Sus scrofa: one gene and its partners. The protein of the gene in region 1 purifies or fractionates together with the protein of each later gene. This does not show direct contact. Links are inferred from orthologs where the notes say so. Each region holds a gene or a part of one and is shown in the gene's direction. Other genes may lie near its edges.

Evidence for each region.
Region 2: the proteins of VAMP8 (region 1) and STX4 purify together in Homo sapiens (affinity purification with western blotting; 3 studies listed by BioGRID and IntAct, with this or other methods). This does not show direct contact. The link is inferred for Sus scrofa from reciprocal best matches to the Homo sapiens genes VAMP8 and STX4.
Region 3: the proteins of VAMP8 (region 1) and STX6 purify together in Homo sapiens (affinity purification with mass spectrometry; 3 studies listed by BioGRID and IntAct, counting the BioPlex papers as one, with this or other methods). This does not show direct contact. The link is inferred for Sus scrofa from reciprocal best matches to the Homo sapiens genes VAMP8 and STX6.
Region 4: the proteins of VAMP8 (region 1) and SNAP23 purify together in Homo sapiens (affinity purification with western blotting; 3 studies listed by BioGRID and IntAct, with this or other methods). This does not show direct contact. The link is inferred for Sus scrofa from reciprocal best matches to the Homo sapiens genes VAMP8 and SNAP23.
Region 5: the proteins of VAMP8 (region 1) and STX12 purify together in Homo sapiens (affinity purification with mass spectrometry; 3 studies listed by BioGRID and IntAct, counting the BioPlex papers as one, with this or other methods). This does not show direct contact. The link is inferred for Sus scrofa from reciprocal best matches to the Homo sapiens genes VAMP8 and STX12.

The regions. Positions count from the first base shown.
Region 1 is NC_010445.4:59,187,091-59,190,596, reverse strand, and holds the end of VAMP8 (vesicle-associated membrane protein 8), read left to right. Parts: intron 1-2,240; coding exon 2,241-2,381; 3' UTR 2,382-2,697; downstream 2,698-3,506. UniProt on the Homo sapiens protein: SNAREs, soluble N-ethylmaleimide-sensitive factor-attachment protein receptors, are essential proteins for fusion of cellular membranes.
Region 2 is NC_010445.4:17,424,502-17,428,547, reverse strand, and holds part of STX4 (syntaxin-4), read left to right. Parts: intron 1-2,279; coding exon 2,280-2,388; intron 2,389-2,459; coding exon 2,460-2,536; intron 2,537-4,031; coding exon 4,032-4,046. UniProt on the Homo sapiens protein: Plasma membrane t-SNARE that mediates docking of transport vesicles. Necessary for the translocation of SLC2A4 from intracellular vesicles to the plasma membrane.
Region 3 is NC_010451.4:122,577,402-122,582,422, reverse strand, and holds the start of STX6 (syntaxin-6), read left to right. Parts: upstream 1-1,849; 5' UTR 1,850-2,056; coding exon 2,057-2,091; intron 2,092-5,021. UniProt on the Homo sapiens protein: SNARE promoting movement of transport vesicles to target membranes. Targets endosomes to the trans-Golgi network, and may therefore function in retrograde trafficking.
Region 4 is NC_010443.5:128,850,365-128,854,604, reverse strand, and holds part of SNAP23 (synaptosomal-associated protein 23), read left to right. Parts: intron 1-152; coding exon 153-311; intron 312-1,587; coding exon 1,588-1,732; intron 1,733-3,624; coding exon 3,625-3,690; 3' UTR 3,691-4,240. UniProt on the Homo sapiens protein: Essential component of the high affinity receptor for the general membrane fusion machinery and an important regulator of transport vesicle docking and fusion.
Region 5 is NC_010448.4:84,942,589-84,946,828, forward strand, and holds part of STX12 (syntaxin-12), read left to right. Parts: intron 1-844; coding exon 845-982; intron 983-4,240. UniProt on the Homo sapiens protein: SNARE promoting fusion of transport vesicles with target membranes. Together with SNARE STX6, promotes movement of vesicles from endosomes to the cell membrane, and may therefore function in the endocytic recycling pathway.

The DNA.
Region 1 (3,506 bases):
ATTCTTGGGGGTTTGGGGATTGGCTGTCTTGGTGGCAGATGTTCAGGAGGGCAGTCTGCCTTTTCACCTGCATTGGGAATTGATGGGAGCAGATTCCCCACTTCTGATTCTGCTCTACTCCACTGATTGGTGCTGGGGTCCAGGGAATGGGTTCAAGGACTGGGGCTGGGGTGCATGGAGAGGGTGGAGGTGGGTGCGGACCCATGGAGGCATTTCCTGAGACAAATGGATGGCTCAGTCAGCCTGTGTCTTCTGAGGCTTCTCTCCTAGGAGACTTTCCCTTTGAAGGCTGCCCTTGACAATCATTTGGATCTGGCCTTCCCCAGGGCAAAAATATTGGCTCCAGAAAATCCTCTTAGGGCTCTAGGCCTTCCCCAGGAGTTGTTAGGCAGGTGGTGGAAAACTGTTAAGAATCTTGCTGAGCCAGCTTTAAAAAGAAGGTGGGAAAAGCAGTAAAAGTCTTTGATCCAGGGTTCTCTGCTAGCTAAAGGCTAGAATAATATCTCCCACATCTTTTTTTTTTTTTTTTTTTTAGGCCATCTGGTACCTGTAGCATATGGAAGTTCCCAGGCTAGGGGTCCAATCAGAGCTGTTGCCTCTGGCCACAGCCACAGCCACAGCAGCTTGGGATCCAGGCTGGATCTGTAACCTACACTGCCCCTCACAACAATGGCAGATCCTTAACCCACTGGACAAGGCCAGGGATCGAACCCGTGTCCTCATCGATGCTAATTGGTTTCTTTAGTGCTGAGCCACAAGAGGAACTCCCCAATATCATCCACATCTTGCTAGATCTCATTCTCTCTCTCCAGCCAGAGGCTGCAGCCAGCTGCCCAGGGAGGGAGGAACTCTAAAGTTCAGCAGAGGGCTGGAGCATAGGATTCCACATCCATGGGAGAGCCTGGCCTTGGCTTTCTGAGTCCTGTGTGTGACCTTGGGTATAGATCCTTTGACTCCCTGAGACTTAGTGTTTCTTTCCACAGCCTCGTCTGGGGAGCATAGCCCAGGAAAGTTAATTTCTGCAACTTGAATTGGGAGAGGAAGAGCATTTTTCCCTCATTTCCAACCCCTGAATGGCCCTGGCCCCTCCTCCAGCTTCAGTGGTCCTCAGGGAGCCAGAAGTCACAAAACCAGGGACATGTGTCCCCCTGGAGCCTGTACCCCTCAGCCCCAGTGTCTGCCCTCCCAAGGGCAGGTTGCACTGACGATGTCACAACTGTGGGTGTGAGCATATGTCAGAGGCCCCTCAGTATACATGACAGTGCAGGGGTAAGAAGAGAAGGGGACAGTCAGGGCACCCAAGGGGTGAGCCCAAGAATCCTAAATTTGAACTTGGCCCACCAGGTTGTTGTGAAGGTATATTTGTCAAGGTAGGAGGACAGAACCTTTTTATTCAGCAGTCTGTTACCTCACCTTTAGCACTTAAATAAATATATATATTTATATACAAATATATAATATATAAAATATATAAAATATATAAATATGTAAAATATCCAAAGTGTATAATATACAAATATATAAAAAATTTTTATTTTGTCTTTTTAGGGCCACACCCCTGGCATGTGGAAGTTCCCAGGCTGGGGGTCTAATTGGAGCTGACACCACAGCCACAGCAACACCAGATCCGAACTTCGTCTGAGACCTACACCACAGCTCACGGCAACACTGGATTCTTAACCCACTGAGCAAGGCCAGGGATCAAACCTGTCACCTCATGGTAATTAGTCAGGTTCGTTAACCACTGAGCCATGATGGGAACTCCCAAATATATAATTATGTAATTTTTTTTTTTTCTTTTTTGGCCGCCCTGCAGCTCAGGGAGTTCCCAGGCCACAGATCAGATCTGAGCTGCAGTTGCCCCTTAAGGCTGAATCTGCGGCAAGGCTGGATCCTTAACCCATGGTGCATGGCCAGGGATCAAGCCTGCGTCCCAGTGCTCCCAAGACTCCACCCATCCTGTTGGGCCACAGCAGGAACTCCAGCACCTAAATATTTTTTTTTTATTTTTATTTTTTTGGGCCATGCCCAACGCAGGCAGAAGTTCCCCGGGCCAGGGATTGAGCCCTGGCCATGGCTGCAGCCTGAGCCACCACAGTGACAATGCCAGATCCTTAGCCTACTGAGCCACCGGGAAACTCCTAGCACTTAAACACTTAAATGTGTGGTGTGCGGGTCTCTGTTTGTACTCGTGGTCCAGTGGGAGGAGGCACTGGGTCACTCTGCCTTATCTCTTGCAGTCTGAGCACTTCAAGACCACGTCCCAGAAGGTGGCTCGGAAGTTCTGGTGGAAGAACGTGAAGATGATCGTCATCATCTGCGTGATCGTTTTTATCATCATCCTCTTCATCGTGCTCTTTGCCACCAACGTCATCCCTTAAAATAACTTAGGGAACCCCTTCCACCCTGCCCTCCTCTTCAGGGCAACCTTCCATAGTGGGTGCCGAGAGGGGCCCTCTCTCCCATGCTCCTCCACAAAGAATGCTGCTCGAGCCTCCCGCCTCTCACTCTGAGACCCCCGCACTGTCTGCCCCCGTGAGTACCTTGGTCCCTGGAAGGAGAGAGCCAGACTGTGGCTGTGTCTCAGGGGGCCTCAGAGGTGGTTGGAGAGACAGACCCAGAGGGCCCAGCATGTGGCTGGGAAGCTGATGGAACTGACGGTGGCCAGTGGGCAATAAAGACCTTTCTGTATCCCTATGCGTGTGAGGTCCTTTCTCCCTTTCCGTTTGGACCTTCTATTTCTTTTTCTTTTTAGTCTTCTTAGGGCCACACCCACCATATATGGAAGTTCCCAGGCTAGGGGTCGAATTGGAGCTGCAGCTGCCAGCCTACACCACAGCCACTGCAACTCAGGATCCGAGCCGGTCTGCAACCTGCACCACAGCTCAATAGCAACACTCAGTCAGTCCTTAACCCACTGAGCAAGGCCAGGATCGAATCTATATCCTCATGGATACTAGTTGGGTTCTTAATCTGCTGAGCCACAGCGGGAACTCCTGGCCCTTCTATTGCTTTTCTCTCTGAAGACCCTCTGGCAGAGTCTCCCATTGGAGGGCCAAGTTATTGGAGGGGCGGAGAGCATATATTTGAAGGAGAAAAGTGGAAATGCCTTGTCTTTCTTGTTTGTTTTGTTTTGTTGTTTTGGCGACCCCTGCAGCATATGGAGTTCCTGGGCCAGAGAATGCCAGATCCAACCTGTATCCTGGGGCTGCAGAGATGCTGCCAATCCCACTGCTCCACAGAGGGAACTCCTCCCTGACTTTCTTTATCTCTCCTTTCTCCATCACTGTCACTTGTCTCAAGAAGAGGAATTTTCTGGAGGTCTCAGCATACAGAAAATTCAAAACCTCCCCCAACATTTTAGGGTGGTATGTAAGACTCCCAGTGGCCCTCTCTTGCCATTTCCTTTGTTACTTTTCTGCGGGAAGTGTTAGCTGAGATGGGAAACCTACCTGGGCTGACCCTTTCGTCTGGTTAAGGGCCTCCTGCCCCTCCCATCAGTGCTC
Region 2 (4,046 bases), about 42 Mb from region 1:
ACCCTAGCCTGGGAACCTCCATGTGCTGCGGGTGCAGCCCTAAAAAGCCAAAAAAAAAAAAAAAAAAAAAAAGAAGTTAGGAAGAGGAACTTCTGGGGGTGGGGTATGGGGGGAAGGTCACTGAGTCACCATCTTTGTAAGGAGAGTTGAGGTCTGACCAGCCTCCTCTTGGTGCCCAGTGGGGAGGGGTTTTGCATACTTAGAGCTCAGAGTTGGAATAGGTGGGCCCAGAGCTCAGCAAAGACCCCAGATTGAAGACGAAACAGTTTGGGCATCTTGAAAGGGTGCAGCTGAAGCCGGGAGAGCAGCTGTGTCTCTGAGGAAATCCAAGGAATGAGCACATTTTATTTTTTTATTTTTGTGTCTTTTTAGGGCCACACCCACAGCATGTGGAAGTTCCCAGACTAGGGGTCAAATCAGAGCTATAGCTACCATCCTACACCACAGCCACAGCAACCCCAGAGCCATGCCGTGTCTTTGACCTATACCACAGCTCACAGCAATGCCAGCTCTTTAACCCAGTGAGCAAGGCCAGGGACCGAACCCACGTCCTCATGGATACTAGGCGGGTTCTTAACCGTTGAGCCACAACAGGAACTCCAGGTGTGAGCACATTTTACTTATATTTATTTATTTATTTATTTTGTCTTTTTGCCTTTTCTAGGGCTGCTTCCCACGGCATATGGAGGTTCCCAGGCTAGGGGTCTAATCGGAGCTGTAGCCACTGGCCTACACCACAGCCACAGCAATGTGGGAAATGAGCCACATCTGCAACCTATACCACAGCTCATGGCAATGCTGGATCCTTAACCCACTGAGCAAGGCCAGGGACTGAACCCGCAACCTCATGGTTCCTTGTCGGATTCGTTAACCACTGCGCCACGACGGGAACTCCAAGCACATTTTAGACACTGAGGAATGGACAAGGTGAGAGGGCGTTTCAGGGGGAGGTTATGGTGGTCGCTGGTGTGAGAGGCTGGAGTGGACCTGTGAAGTCTGGGCAATCACTGGACCTCCAGGTATACCTGGCCCACCTCTAGTCTAAGCCGTGAGGCTGGTGTTCAGCAAGCATTCAACACCTATTTATTAAGGGTCTACTGTGTGAGGGCCTTTTCTAGCTGTTTGTGAACCAAAGACCCCAATCCTCGCGGAGCTTACATTCTGGTAGGAGAGAGAAGCACCATAATAAATCAGGAAGTTATTTCAGAACATAGGGTGGGTTAAGGGACCAGAGCAGGAGAAGAGGGATTGAGAACACTAGGAGAAGGCAAGTAGCAATTGCAATAAGGCAGAGAAAACTCTGTTCACAAGGTGATATTGAGGGAGTTCCCCTTGTGGTTCAGCGGTAATGAACCCGACTAGTATTCATGAGGATGCAGGTTCGATCCCTGGCCTCCCTTGGTGGATTAAAGACCTGTATTGTGGTGAGCTGGGGCTTAGATCCCACGTTGCTGTGGCTGTGGTGTAGGCTGGAAGCTGCAGCTCCAATTCAACCCCTAGCCTGGGAACTTCCATATGCCACGGGTGAAACCCTAAAAAATAAATAAATAAATAAATAAATAAATAAATAAATAAATAAATAAATAAAAAGCAAAAAAGAAAATTGGAGTTCCTGTTGTGGCACAGCGAAAACGAATCTGACTAGTAATCATGAGGTTGCGGGTTCAATCCCTGGCCTTGCTCAGTGGGTTAAGGATCTGCCTTGCCGTGAGCTGTGGTGTAGGTGGCAGGTGCAGCTCAGATCTTGTGTTGCTGTGGCTGTGCTATAGGCTGGCAACTGTGGCTCCAATTTGACCCCTAGACTGGGAAGCTCCATATGCCTTGGGTGCAGCCCTAAAAAGCACAAAAAGGAAGGGGGGGGCGGCAAATAAATAAATAAATAAGAGGGCGACCTTGAAACACAGACTAATTACCTTTGTGGGGCCTGAGCATTTTAGGCCCAAGGAGGGGCGAGTACAAAGGCCCGAGCTGGGGCTGTCCTTTGTTCATGGAGGAGTAAGGAGCCCACTATGGCTGGAGGGAAGGAGTGAGGAAACAGTATTGGAAGGTGAGGTTAGATGGGAACCAGGGAGAGGGGTGGGTCATATAGGGCCTCTCAGGCCCTTGGGGAGGGCTTTGACTTTCACCTTGAGGGACTGGAGGAGCCCATTCAAGGCGGTTAAGGCGACAGGCACCTGTAACAGCTCATGCTCTTTGCTCCCTGTACCCATGGGGATGCTGAGGCCCCGAGGGAGCAGGGATCCTCCCAGGGGTGCCCAGCCTCTCTTCTCCCTCCTTAGCATGGGGTCCTGTCCCAGCAATTCGTGGAGCTCATCAACAAGTGCAACTCCATGCAGTCCGAGTACCGGGAGAAGAACGTGGAGCGGATCCGGAGGCAGCTGAAGATCAGTGAGTTGCGGCGCCGGGCCTGCCGGGTCAGGTGACCTGACCAGCGCTGAGCCTGGCCTTTCCCTTCACAGCAAATGCTGGCATGGTGTCTGACGAGGAGCTGGAGCAGATGCTGGACAGCGGGCAGAGCGAGGTGTTTGTGTCCAACGTGAGTGGCCGGCCTCCTTCTGTCCGCTCTGAGTCCCGGCCCTTTTGCATGGAGGGAATCCTGAGGCCCAGAAGGGAATGAAGGAGCCTGCCTGGGATCACTCCTCAGGGCCCTGGCCCCGGTTCTAGGCCGGAGGGCTGCCCCAAGGCTCACCATGAACTTCTTTCTGTTTTTTTCTTAATTGTTATTTCTCCAATACAACTTTTTTTCCTGCTGTATAGCACGGTGACCTGGTTACACGTACATGTACACATTCTATTTTCTCACATTATCAGGCTCCCTCATAAGTGACTAGACACAGTTCCCAGTGCCACACAGCAGGATCTCATTGCTAATCCATTCCAAAGGCAATAGTCTGAATCTATGCGCCCCAAGCGCCCCATCCACCCCACTTCCTCCCCCTCCCCCTCGGCAACCACAAGTCTGTTCTCCAAGTCCATGATTTTCTTTTCTGTGGAAAGGTTCATTTGTGCCATATATTAGCTTCCAGATATAAGTGATATCCTATGGTATTTGTCTTTCTCTTTCTGACTTACTTCACTCAGCATGAGAGTCTACAGTTCCATCCATGTTGCTGCAAATGGCATTATTTCGTTCTTTTTTATGGCTGAGTAGTATTCCATTGTGTATATATACCGCATCTTCCTAATCCAATCATCTGTCGATGGACATTTGGGTTGTTTCCATGTCTTGGCAATTGTGAATTGTGCTGCAGTGAATATGCGGGTACATGTGTTTTTTCTAAGGAAAGTTTTGTCTGGATATATGCCCAAGAGTGGGATTGTGGGGTCATATGGTAGTTCTATGTATAGATATCTAAGGTATCTCCATACTGTTTTCCATAGTGGTTGTACCAGCTTACATGCCCACCAACAGTGCAGGAGGGTTCCTTTTTCTCCACACCCCCTCCAGCATTTGTTATTTGTGGACTTATTAATGATGGCCATTCTGACTGGTGTGAGATGGTATCTCGTGGTAGGTTTGATTTGCATTTCTCTAATAATCAGGGACATTGAGCATTTTTTCATGTGCTTGTTGGCCATCTGTATATCTTCCTTGGAGAAATGTCTGTTCAGATCTTTTGCCCATTTTTCCATTGGGTTGTTGGCTTTTTTGTGGTTGAGTTGTGTAAGTTGCTTATATATTCTAGAGATTAAGCCCTTGTCAGTTGCATCATTTGAAGCTATTTTCTCCCATTCTGTAAGTTGTCTTTTTGTTTTCTTTTTGGTTTTCTTTGCTGTGCAAAAGCTTGTCGGTTTGATTAGGTCCCATTGGTTTATTTTTGCTTTTATTTCTGTTGCTTTGGGAGAAAATAGCCATAAGGTTGATGTCTGAGAATGTTTTGCCTTTGTTCTCTTCCAGGAGTTTGATGGTGTCTTGTCTTATATTTAAGTCTTTAAGCCATTTTGAGTTTACTTTCATGCATCACCATGAACTTCTGAGCCTATGGCTGGTTTCCCTGTGACCTCTCCCTCCACCCCTGTCCACTCTCCAGATACTGAAGGACACA
Region 3 (5,021 bases), on another chromosome or scaffold:
ATAATCAGGAAGTAGCAGAACTGGGATTCAAACCCAAGTAATCTGGTTGCAACTCTGGATCTTAATCACCATTCTCATCTCAATTTCCATGTGTTTGTTGAATGAATGAAAGATGATCCCTTTTCAATTCCTCACCTCAATATGTTCAGAACTGAAACAGTTCTCTTCCAGGAGGGTTCCCCCCCACATCTGACCTCCATCGCTCCTCCAGGGTCTTGGAGAAGCCTGGAGTCTTTGACTTTTACCTCTTTCCTCCCTGATCCCATTCAATCTCTCATCAAGTCTAGTTGTTTTGTTTTGTTTTTCCTTGGAAACATCTATCAGATTCTCTCCTTCCTCTCCATTTACAATCCCTGCTGTCCTGGTCTAGTCCTCATCCCTTCAGGTGAGATGACCACAGCAGCTTCCAGACTGGTTTCCCTAACTTCACTTCCTCACTCTGTGGGAGACTTGGGGTTTCCAGGCTTTTTTTTTTTTTTTTTTCCCCTTTTAGAGCTGCACCTGCAGCACGTGTAATTTCCAGGCTAGTGGTCGAATAGGAGCTGCAGCTGCTGGCTTATGCTGCACTTCAAGGCAACTCTGGATCCTTAATCCACTGAGCGTGGCTAGGGATGGAACCCACATCCTCATGGATACTAGTTGGGTTCTTAACCCCACTGAGTCACAACAGGAACTCCATCTAGCCATTTTTATTTAAACTTCACAACAATCTATGAGCTAAATATTCATATTTTATAGATGAGAGACTGAATAACAGAACCCAGGTTCAAACAGGGTTTGTCTGGCTCTGAGGACTCTTCTATCTTCAAAAAGACTGCTAACTTTAAGCCAGTCACTTAAATTCCAAGTCTCAGATTTCTTATCTGTATAATGGGGATTACAACATTGTGAGAGCACCTGAGATAAACTAAGCTCAGTGCCTGCCACACAGTATGTGCTCAATGATAATCAGCAATTAAAGTTCGCAAAACCCATAGACTATCTAGCGTATGAGTTTGATAAACTGTTCTGACCAAAAGGCTTCCTGGAAGAGCTCTTGAACCACTTAGCTGGTAAGAAGTTGCCAGACCTGGCCCCTTCTTTGTCCTTCAAAAATGCTCTCTTCCAGGAAGCACCATATGCTGTATGAAAAAATTATCTTACTGATCACTTCAAGAACACAGAAAAGACAAAAAACGCAACACACACAAAAACACATCCTAGCCTGGTGGAAAGTGCACAGAATCTGGGGCTCTGCCCTGTCCAGGTTGTGTGAGCACAAGAAATCTTGAAACCTATATGAATTTTTCTAATCTGCAAAATGGGAATAATAATACCTTCCCCTCCAAGGATACTGAGATAACTCACAGCCTTCAGCGTCTTGCTGGGCACTATAAGACCCACAGAAAGGAGTTGTGCAACATTATCAGAGTCAGATAAGGTAGACGAGCTTTATTCTAAGTCGAGGACGAGATGGATTTCTAAATCTATATGTTATCAAAATAAGTATCAAAAGGAGAGGAAAGGTGAAAAGATTGTGCAAAGCTGATACTATCTCCGTATCTAGGAAACCTGACTACCTTTCTTGCCAGGGAACAAGCAGCTCCTCCCCCTGAATCTTGAGAGGTGAGTGTTGAGAAGACCCGCCCTCTCCGCCGCCGCCAGAGCCCCGCCTCCAGGGTCGAGTAACGCAAGGCCCAGGCCCTGCTGATGGGGGGTGGGGGGGGCTCTGGTCACGTGAGCGCGAGTGCGGAAGTGGTGCGGCTGACGGCGTTCGTGATTGGTCGAGGCTGAGGGACCTGGGGGCGGGGCCAAGCGGCCGGACGCGCCGGGAGGAGCCGAGGAGGGGGCCGCGCCGGGGCCGGCGCCAGAGTCACGGCTTCGGTCTGAGGTGCAGACAGAGTACTGGACCCGCGGCGGGCCGGTGCACCCCTGCCTGCGCGCGCAGCCGCTACAGGTCCCGCAGGCCGAGACGCGGGCTGCTGCGCGAGGCGGGTGGGGTGGGCAGAGGGAGATTGGGAGGGCGCGGGCGCCCTGTGCGCAGAGCAGGCGTGAGGCGGCCGGGGGCCGGGACGCCATGTCCATGGAGGACCCCTTCTTTGTGGTGAAAGGGTGAGTGTCGTAGGGGGCTCCACTGGAGGAGGCGGCGGCAGTGCTGCCTGCCCTCACCTCCCCGCTTTTCTCGCTCTAGGGGGAGGGGAGACAAGTAGAGTCTGGCGTGGGGACCGCTTAGCCTTGAGGGCTATGATAAAGCGTCCAGAGACATCCCCTCTTCGTGCTACCTGGACTTTGAAACCGTGCCCCCAGTCAAGCCCCTGGGGAGGGGGGGGGTCTCCTTTGGCTTGTGCGCCGTTCTACAACTTATGGAGGGGTGTCGAGGGGTTCAGCAGCTCCTCAGGTGGGGAGGGAGACAGGCGTCCCAGACCAAAGTGGGGCTGTAGTGGAGCACCGGGCCCTGCTTTGAAGGGGGAAAAACAGCATCTGGGCAGGAAAAGGGAAATGGGCCTCCTGAGCTTTGTAGTTGGCGTGGACGGGGGTGAGCTCCCATTGTCCATTGAGTTCGGAGCGCTGGCCCGCTGACTGGCGAGACCACAACAAGCCCAGAGGCGTCTGAGCACGTTTGCAGGCTGGGAGGCGGGGGCGCGAGGCTCCGGAAGACAACTCTATTCAGTGGGGGAGTTTTTACCGAGTAATGGGAGGGGAGGAAAGCTGCTGTTCAAACTCAGTGGTGATGTTGGAAGGAAAACAAAATGAAATCAGCCAAACCAAACTTTCCTTAGCTTTCTGTTAGCACAGGGATTTTCCCACAGTGCTAAAGGAAATGAGTGCTTTCTTTTTAACTCCCTGATTTCATCCAGGCTATTTGACAGGTTTCCCCCATTTCTTCTTTTTTCTGCCTTTGAGACTAGAGCTGTCCTAACTTATTTTTCCCTAAGAAGTGTCGTGACTCCATCTTTGATTGCTCAATTGTTTGTTTGGAGATAGAAGCTTTAACTGCACTCTGTTATATAGGCTTTGTAGCCATTAAACAAATGCAGAAAAGATTGATTCTGTTGTTATAACTTGTCAGCTTTTGTTTTAAATGTCAAACAAAACAATCTGAGAACTGCAACGTTCTGGAAAAATCAGTGCCAATGACCTTAAAGTGCCTCTGCTTTCAACTAGTTGCTACTAGCTTCCTATTTCTGTAGGGGTAAAAGTTGACCAGTTGCTTGAGTGTTATTTTTTTTTTTTTACGGTTCATTTTACAAAATTTAAATGGTACTTTAAGTTAAATACTTTATTACCCATGATACAGTTAAATATATTTATGTATTTCTAACATTGCCTTTAAAAGTTTTTTTTTAACCTGACTTTAATATAAATGGAAAAACGCTGAGTTTAGATTATTGGTAATATGTGGCTCTCTACCTGGAAAATGTGTGGTTTATTAGGATTGATTTTTAGGGGATAATTTTTAAATGTGAAAACTGTTTTTTCCTTGAGTGAACGTTCTTAATGCTTAGGGTTGCAAAGGTTATCTCTGGCTGTGGAGACTGTAGATAATCAGAATTTTAAAATTTTTAATGGGATTTGTGAAAATGCAAAATTGTTTTGCCATCTTGACTTTTTTTTTCTTGATGGTAGCCAGTGCAGTTCACCAGTGCTTGCTCACTGATTAGATATCACTGCTTTATTGGAACATTGGCCTTGAGTCTTGCTTGACTTTGACATCATTTTAGCTCATGTTCTTAAGATGTCAAAACCTTCTGCTTTGTGGGAGTTCCCGTTGTGGCGCAGTGCAAATGGATCCAGCTAGTATCCATGAGGACATGGGTTCCATCCCTGGCCTCACTCAGTGGGTTAAGGATCTGGCATTGCTATGAGCTGTGGTGTAGGTCACAGATGAGGCTTGGATCTGGCTTTGTTGTGGCTGTGGTATAGGCCGGCACCTGTAGCTACAATTCAGACCCCTGGCCTGGAGGGAACTGCCATATGCCACAGGTGCAGCCCTTAAAAGAAAAAGAAAAAAAACCCTTCTGCTGTGGAAAAGTAAAATTAGCTACATGAGTGCCTCCACAATGTGTGAGGGAATGTATGGAGCCATGTATCTCTGCTTATTGAAAGTTTTGAAAATGCACCCCACGATGTGGAAAAATTAAAGATGCTTGAATTGTGGCCCTTAGCCTAGGAGCTGGTAGTCTAATCTGAAAAAAACTTACCCCCAAATTAAGTAGAAATGACAGGTGGTAAGTGATCAAATGCTGTAGCCTAGGAGCTGGTAGTCTAATCTGAAAAACAACTTACCCCCAAATTAAGTAGAAATGACAGGTGGTAAGTGATCAAATGCTGAAGTGAATGCTACAGAAGATTAGGTGCCCCAGTAGTCCGGAGAAAGGCATCTCATTAGGAATGGCTGTGGTTGGAAAAGCTTTGGAGGTAGTAGTATGTCTTAGGTTTTGAAGATGGGTAGCTCTTAGATAATTCAGCCTGTGTCTCTTCTGGACTATTGGCAAGAAGAGTATCCATTTGGTCCTCTTGCTCCCAATCCCTTTCCTCTTTCATCTATCTTAGTTCTGCTGGCTGGGTGCTCTCCAGTATGCCGGTGTGAGCCACACATGCCGTGTTACATTGCCTAGTAGATGCAGTAAAAAGTAAAAGACAAGTGAAATTAATTTTAATGTCATCTTTAACCAGTATACTCAAAATATTTCAACATGTGATGAATATAAAGACTGTTAATGAAAGATTTTTCCCTTTTTGTACTACGTCTTAAAAATCCGGCGAGTATTTTGTACTTAGAGCACATCTCAATTTGGACACTAAATTTTCATCAGAAACACTTGATCTTTATTTGGAGTTCATTAAACACACAGTTCAAAGTGCGGATTGATGTACCCAGATTGTTCCACGTATACTTTCAGAATTTTTGGTAGCTGAAGTGTATATCAGTTTTTAAAGTTAAATTAAAATGTAAAATTTAGGAGTTCCCATCGTGGCTCAGTGGTTAATGAATCCGACTAGGAACCATGAGGTTGCGGGTTCGATCCCTGCCCTTGCTC
Region 4 (4,240 bases), on another chromosome or scaffold:
GTGATAGAGCATAGTATGGATAATCTCGATTTAGCTGTGTGTAGCATTTATGCTAAGGGTGGTAGGCCATCACCAAGGTAACAAGCACGAATAATGACAGTTCTCCTTCTTCTGCTTTTCGGTATCTCTCTACACTCCTGTCTCTCACACAGGACAAAGAACTTTGAGTCTGGTAAAGCCTATAAGGCGACATGGGGTGATGGTGGAGACAACTCTCCTAGCAATGTAGTATCTAAGCAGCCAGGCCGAGTGACAAATGGTCAGCCTCAGCAAGCAGCCACAGGAGCAGCCAGCGGCGGATACATTAAACGGTATGCTAGCTCCTCCCAGTATGTTTACCCTTTCCCTAAATGAATAGCTCTTTCTGGAGGATGGGTATAGTTATGCATGAGTCCTAACTCATCAATTAGAAATAGCATTTATTGGAATTCCCCCCGCCGTGATGCAGTGGGTTAAGAATCCGACTGCAGCAGGTCACTGCAGAGGTGTGGGTTTGAAATAGCATTCATTCTGTTCTAAAATTTGCCTTCTGACAAAATGGCCTTCAGTGATGAATTAACTTTTCTATATAAAATACATTTCTAAATTATTCAAGTAATCACGTTTTACTTCTGTAAATACAAAGACGTGTTTTAAAATGTATCATCCAGAGTTCCTGTCATGGCTCAGTGGTTAATGAACCCAATCAGGGTCCATGAGGACGAGGGTTTGATCCCTGGCCTTGCTCAGTAGGTTAAGGATCTGGTGTTGCCATGAGCTGTGGTGTAGGTCACAGATGCGGCACGGATCCTGCATTGCTGTGGCTGCGGCATGGGCCAGCAGCTACAGCTCTGATTCGAACCTAGCCTGGGAACCTCCATATGCCAAGGGTGTGGCCCTAAAAAGACAAAAGACAAAAAATAAATGTTCCCATGTGATGCAGTGGGTTAAGGATCTGCCGTTGTCACTGCTGTCGCTCTGGTAATAGCCGTGGCATGGGTTTGATCCCTGACCCAGAACTTCTGCATGCTGTGGGTGGGGCCAAAAAAAAAAAAGTGTCATCCAGAGTAGGAGTTGACCAGATCCCTATAAGGATATCTGTAAATGGTCAGTTAGTAAATATTTCAGACTTTACAGGAGTTTTGCAACCTATTTCAGAGCAGTGATTCTTTAGACTTAAGCATGCATCAGAATCACCTTTGAAGTTTAATAAAATGTAGATTGCTAGGATCCCTTCCAATCTTTGATTCAGGAGATCTGGAGTGGAGTGTGAGAATGAGCATGTTTTTTGTTTTTATTTTGGCTGTGCCCATGACATGTGTGGTCAGGGATTGAACCTGCACCACAGCAGTGGCAACTCTGGATCCTAGGCCACCAGGGAACTCCCTAGAGTTGTTTCTTTATCTTGTCTTAAGGGCTTTTAAGATATTGCACTCTCTTGGGTCAGTCTTTGCATTTTTTACTATAGAGTATTTCCCAAAAATGGTAACCTGCATTCCTTGGGTTCAACACTTGCTGAGGTCATTTTGGTTACTTATTTTTATGAAAACTAAATCACCCCATAATTCACCCCAAAGTACTGAATTAAATTTTTTTTTTTTGCGATAGTATAACAAATGATGCCAGAGAAGACGAAATGGAAGAGAACTTGACTCAAGTGGGCAGTATCCTAGGAAATCTAAAAAACATGGCCCTGGACATGGGCAATGAGATCGAGGCTCAAAATCGACAAATAGAACGGATCACAGAAAAGGTAAGAGCTTCTTAGTGCCACAGGAAAATGAGACATCCAATACAGTGTTTTAGCAATGGACATCTGTACTGGATACTTTGGGGAATAGGATAAGATCTTATCCTCACAGGTCTTAACAGTTTTGATGAGGCAGCAGGTCTAACACATTGAAAAACAAGAGTTGGAGTTCCTGTTGTGGTGCAGCGGAAACAAATCTAGTATCCATGAGGATGCGGGTTTGATCCCTGGCCTCCCTTAGTGGGTCAGGGATCTAGCACTGCTGTGAGCTGTGGCATGGGTTGCAGACACAGCTCGGATCCCACGTGGCTGTGGCTGGTAGCTACAGCTCCAATTCGACCCCAAGCCTGGGAGCCTTGGGTGTGGCCCTAAAAAAAAAAAAGAAAAGAAAGAAAAGAAAAACATCAGTCAAGTCCTCCTCTCTCACTCATTGTTCATTTTGAGACTAAGACCTTGGAATGAAGTGCCTTTATTTAAAATTTCACTCATGAAGCTTACTGTCTTCTCTAACTTTTGTGTGTGTTGTCATTTGTTTTACTTTCCCCTTAATGAGCACGTAAGCTTTTGGAATTTTATTTTGTTAATAACAAATTACTAAATTTCTAAGTCCTCGTGTCGTAAGTAGGTAAAAATCACTTTTGCAGAATGGTTCCTGTGGGGTGGACACAAAAACACAAGATAGAGTCCTATGAGTAATGAAAAAGTATGATTGCTATTTTTTACTTCACATGATATAAAAGAAACTGAAATTAAATTATGTTCAATATTTGGTTGTGTCATATCTAAAAGCTATTCTTACTTCTTGTTACTTCATTAAAATCTCTCCGTTAAAATTTGGGTTAATCTTTTAAGCCTGGCTCTATTGAATCACTTATGATGGAGTTCATTGAGGCAAACAGTGGTTCATAAGATGGTTTTAATGCTGTTATGTGTGTTTAGGCTACATAGTAAACCCATCATTTTAATTCACATATTGATGTGGTTGGTAATACATCTGTTCCAAACATCTTGGGGCAGGTTATTTCATTCTCTGAGTTAGACCCAGGGTAGCTCCAGATGAGATTCTTTTTTTTTTGTCTTTTTAGGGCTTCACCAAAGACACGTGGAGGTTCCCAAGCTAGGGGTCAAATCGGAGCTACAACTGCCAACCTATGCCACAGCCACAGCAAGGCAGGATCTGAGCTGGGTCTGCGACCGACACCACAGCTCATGGCAACACCGGATCCTTAACCCTCTGAGCGAGACCAGGGATCGAACTTGCATCCTCATGGATACTAGTCAGATTCATTTCTGCTGAGCTATGACAGGAACTCCTCCAGATGAGATTCTGTGTTCAGTTCAGGAGATTCCCACATGGTCCAGATCTCCAGCAGAGAAAAGCATTTTTATATTTTCATTGCATCTAAAATGCCATTTAATATAAGATGCATCCCAGTTTCAGACATATTCAACTATGAAAAAAGATGTTACAGAGGGAGTTCCTGCCATGGTGCAGTGGGTTAAGAATCTGACTGCATCGGCTTAGGTTGCCATGGAGGTGCAGGTTCAATCCCAGCCTGGTGCAGAATGTTAAAGGATCTGGCATTGCCGAAGCTGGAGCTTGGATTCAGTCCCTGGCCCAGGAACCTGCATGTGCCATGAATGCAGCCATTAAAAAAAAAGAAAAGAGAAAAAAGTTACAGAATTCTTGAAATACTGGCAAGTTCTTCTCTTATACCTTTGTCATGTTTATATATCCAAGTAGTTCTAAACGAGTTTGATATTCTATCACTTCTTACCCAAAATGAGTTTTGTAATGTGACTATCTCCTGAATTTTTCTAAGTATACGAAATTTAATGTTTATTAGAGCAGCTTACCTTGTGAAGTAATGCTGGTATCTTTCTCTTTTTTTCAGGCTGACACCAACAAAGACCGTATTGACAATGCCAATGCCAGAGCAAAGAAACTCATTGACAGCTAAAGTTACTGCTGTACTTCTTTATCATATGTTCACTTCCCTAGCTCCTCCTTCAAAGTCATTACCTTTCCAAAGTTTGAAATTTTGGTTCCACACTTCTAATCGAGAGAGGATGTGGAAGAAGATCTAGGAGTAACAGCCCCCCTATTATTTTTTTATTTTCTCTTTTTCCCTTGAGAGTAGACTCCTGCTTAGTGTTCCATCTAATATTTTTTCTCAGTTCATACTCTGAGATTGGTTTTCACACGTCATATGTAGTGTTTTTCATCCCTTCCATTTACTTTTAGCAGGTTCTTCTGCTTTCAAGATTTGGAAATGCTGCCAAAGATAGCCATGTAAAAGGGAAGCTGGAGGTATTGGGGGCATTCATGAGGAGGAGAGGCAAGAGATAAAAGGTTGTTATCTCAGTAAAATCTGCAGACCCTAAAGCAAAAAGTTGCATAACCACAGTGAAGATCTGGTTCGGTTTCATTTTTATTTAAGTTGCAGTTATTGCCAGTTTAGGTTGATGGTTAGTTTTAGAACTTTCGAAACAATGTTTTGGTTATACATC
Region 5 (4,240 bases), on another chromosome or scaffold:
TTTGTTTTGTTTTGTTTTGTTTTGTTTGGCTTTTTGCTATTTCTTGGGCCGCTCCCGCGGCATATGAAGGTTCCCAGGCTAGGGGTCGAATCGGAGCTGTAGCCACCGGCCTACACCAGAGCCACAGCAACGCGGGATCCGAGCCGCATCTGCAACCTACACCACAGCTCATGGCAACGCCGGATCGTTAACCCACTGAGCAAGGGCAGGGACCGAACCTGCAACCTCATGGTTCCTAGTCGGATTCGTTAACCACTGCGCCACAATGGGAACTCCCAATATGTGTTTTTTGAGACATAGTTTCAGTAAGCTTAGAAAAGGTAGCCTGTAACCGTACAAAGTAGTTTTCTCAGAGATTTTGAACCTCAATACAGTGTGAAGGAAAATGATTGTATGGGTTTCAGGTAAGCTGAGAACTCAGTATAGATTAATACAGTTTTAACATTTTAGCAAGAACACCATCTTTGTTTGGGTCCAATCTGAGTCCATAGGTGTTTTTCTGCTTTTAGATTCTCCAGGGAACCAAAATTCTGAATTGCAGTTCCCTCTGAGATTCCCTTACAAGGTAAATGACACACAAGTCCCAGATTTGTCAGAATGAATGAAGGAAAACTCTGAGTTAGCAAAGAACAAATTTATTAATTTAGGGAAGAGCCTATTTCATAGTAATTTTCCTAGTTGGAAATCTTTAGGGGGCATAGTTTTGCTTTTAATTGGAATTAAAACCAAATAATTCTAATATTGTATGTCAGTTCTACTTCAATTTAAAAAAATGATGTCCAAAAAAACCCCCAAATGATTCTAGGTTAATATGAAATTTCAAGTTCTTGTTTAATTTCCTCAGCGCCAGCAGAAACTTCAGAAGGAACGTCTCATGAATGACTTCTCTGCAGCCTTAAACAGTTTCCAGGCTGTGCAGAGAAGGGTGTCTGAAAAGGAAAAGGAGAGTATTGCCAGAGCAAGAGCTGGATCTCGTCTTTCTGTAAGTTTATTCCCGAAAGAAGACCTTTGCAAATGTCAGGATGTTCTTTCCTAAGGTTTTTTGTTGTTGTTGTTGTTTTTTAAATTTTTTATCATTTGTGTTTGTTTACTATCCTCCAAATAATAAACATAGACATTAACTGCTGTGACAATGTCAGATTGGTATAAGCTTTGTTTTAAAAAAAAAAGTGTGCGTGTGGTCAAAGACTAGAAAGAAATATGTACAACGATTTACGAAAGTGACAGGTAAAATTACTTGTAATTTTTTTTCTTTTTATTGTTATGTTGATATTATGTTAAAAACTTCAAAGTGTAATAAATCCATTTCCTAGAATATACCAGGCTAGGTTATTTGGATTAGCCTTCTCTTTGAAAAGACTTAACAAAGACTAGATTTTAACAGCATAACTCTTCAAAAGTATCAAAGAGCCATGAAAATATTAAGGTCAGAGTCTAAGAGAAGCTGTAAATCCATAAAGGTAAGCAGAGCACTGAAGCTGCTTTTGCGCAGAGTACTTTTTACTGAGGGCAAACTTGAATTTAGTGTTGCTGGTCCTCCTGTCATGGGGCGGGAGGCAAAAGTCAAAGCCAAGGGTCCACACAAGGTGAATAATCTAAAATAAGGTGCTCCTCCTGCTGCAGAGCACTAGTTACTTGTGATGGAACATGATTAAGTATAATGTGAGAAAAAGAATGTATATATATATATATATATATATGTATGTATGAATGACTGGGTCACTTTGCTGTACAGCAGAAATTGACAGAACATTATAAATCAACTATAATAAAAAATAAAAAAAAAGGTGCGGCTCAATTTAAACTGGGCCCTAAAAAATGAAAAATAAGCCCCCCTTTCCCCTAGCAATCTGCAAAAAAAGATTGCATTGGCATTGAGAATGGCAAGATGGAGAGGAAATCCAGATAATAAGGTGTACCATAAAGTAATCTTCAGATAAATTTACTGCTCAAATTCATACTACCTGAATGGTCCCAAAGCCTCAAGTTTCAAGTAGTCCTGGACTGGTAGAGTACCTGTGTACCAAGCAGAAGCAAATACAATCCTCTCTATTTAGACTTTGTCCTAACCCTAAAAGAGTACCTTCGAATAATTTTCCAAGTGTAGTGAGCAGCCCAAGGTGCACAAATAAACAAAAACCCTGAACAAGAACTACTAGAAACAACAGTGAGGTGAAATAGACCTTCAAAGACTTCATACATTAGAATTATAAGACAACTGTACTTATTATGTTTAAAGAAATAGAAGAGAATCTTAAACACATCTACAGGAAGCAGGAAACTTCTCAAAAAACTTTGGAAAGAGTCAAAAGATTTTCTAGAATTGAAAAATATAATGTAGAAATTAAAAGCTTAAAGGCTGTGGGTTTAACTAGAAAATAGATTAGAAGGTATTATCCAGCATGTAGGACAAGGGGTTAAGAAGTTAAATCGGGAAAAAGGTTATGAGAAATAGGGAATGAAGTGAAAAGATCTAAACTGGATTTAAGTAGAGTTACAAAATGAGAATAGAGCAGACATAGATCAGCAGTGATATTTGAAGAGATGACTGGTAATATTTCAGAACTGATGAAAGACAGTAATCTACAGTTTCTTTTTTTTTTTTTTTTCTTTTTTGCTATTTCTTGGGCCGCTCCCGTGGCATATGGAGGTTCCCAGGCTAGGGGTCTAATCAGAACTGTAGCCGCCAACCTACGCCAGAGCCACAGCAACGCGGGATCCTTAACCCACTGAGCAAGGGCAGGGACCAAACCCACAACCTCATGGTTCCTAGTCTGATTCGTTAACCGCTGCGCCACGGCGGGAACTCCCTAATCTACAGTTTCAAGAAGCCTGACAAATCCCAAGAAGGGTAAATTTTAAAATTCTCATTTAGGTATATCAAAGAGAAACTTCAGAACACCAAAGACAAAGAGAAAATCATTAAAAAAAAAAATAGGGGCCAGGAAAACAACAGAATACCTTTAAAGATGCCACAGGTAGAGTGACAGCTGACTTGTCAACAGTGACAGCTGAAGCAAGCAGAGTGTTGTCTTTAATGTTACGGAGGACAATGATTGTCTATCTAGGATTCTAAACCTAGAGAAAATAGCTACTCAGAATGAGGGCATTCTCAGAATGAAAGACATTTTCAGTCAAAAGAGAGTTTGCTATCAGCGCACCTTACGTAAGAACATTCTGAAAGATGTACTTCAAGCAGGAAGGCGATCCCAGATAGTGAGTCTGAAAAACAAAGAAAATGGTAAATATTACAGACGAATCACAAACAAGGAGATACTGCTGTATGTACAACTGATAAAAGGCTAATATCCAGAAGATATAGAAGTTCCCGTCGTGGCTCAGCAGTTAACGAAAATCAACTAGGAACCATGAGGTTGAGGGTTCGATCCCTGCCCTTGCTCAGTGGGTTAAGGATTGGTGTTGCCGCGAGCTGTGGTGTAGGTTGCAGGTGCAGCTCAGATCCCGCATTGCTGTGGCTCTGGCATAGGCTGGCAGCTACAGCTCCAATTAGACCCCTAGCCTGGGAACCTCCATATGCTGCAGGAGTGGCCCAAGAAATAATAAAAACAAAACAGAATATATAAAGAATTCTCAGGAATCAATATGAAAAAGACAACCCAATAAAACAATAGTTTCTCAAACTTTTTGATCTCAGGACCCCATTACACTCTTAAAAAGTATTAAGGGTTCCAAAAAGATTTTGTTTGTATAAATTATATCTATTGATATTTATTGTAATAGAATTAAAACTGAGACATTTTAAAAATGTTTATAAATAATAAACCCAATATAACCTATTTTATATTTTATATAGTAAACATAGTTTATATTTAAAACTATTTTTTGAAAAACAAGTTGCTGAGAAGAGTGGCATTGTTTTTGTTTTTACATGTATTTTTATTATCTGGCTTGCTAGAGGAAAGCTACATTTTCATAGTTATTTCTATACTCAGTCTATTGCAGTATGTTGTTTTGGTTGAGTTATCTGAAGAAAATCCAGCCTCACATAGATATGTAACTAGAAAGGGAAGGAGTATTTTAACTAACCTCTTCAGATCATTGTTGATATTCTTCTTTGATACTACATCAGAATTTGACAAAGTTAGTTGCATTGTGGAATCTAAAACCATATTAATGACTTTTTCATATTCCGATACATTGAAATTTGTTGGTATGTCATACACTTTGATTGGCTCTTTTATTCATGCACAATTTATAACATCAGGTACTTATTGTTTGG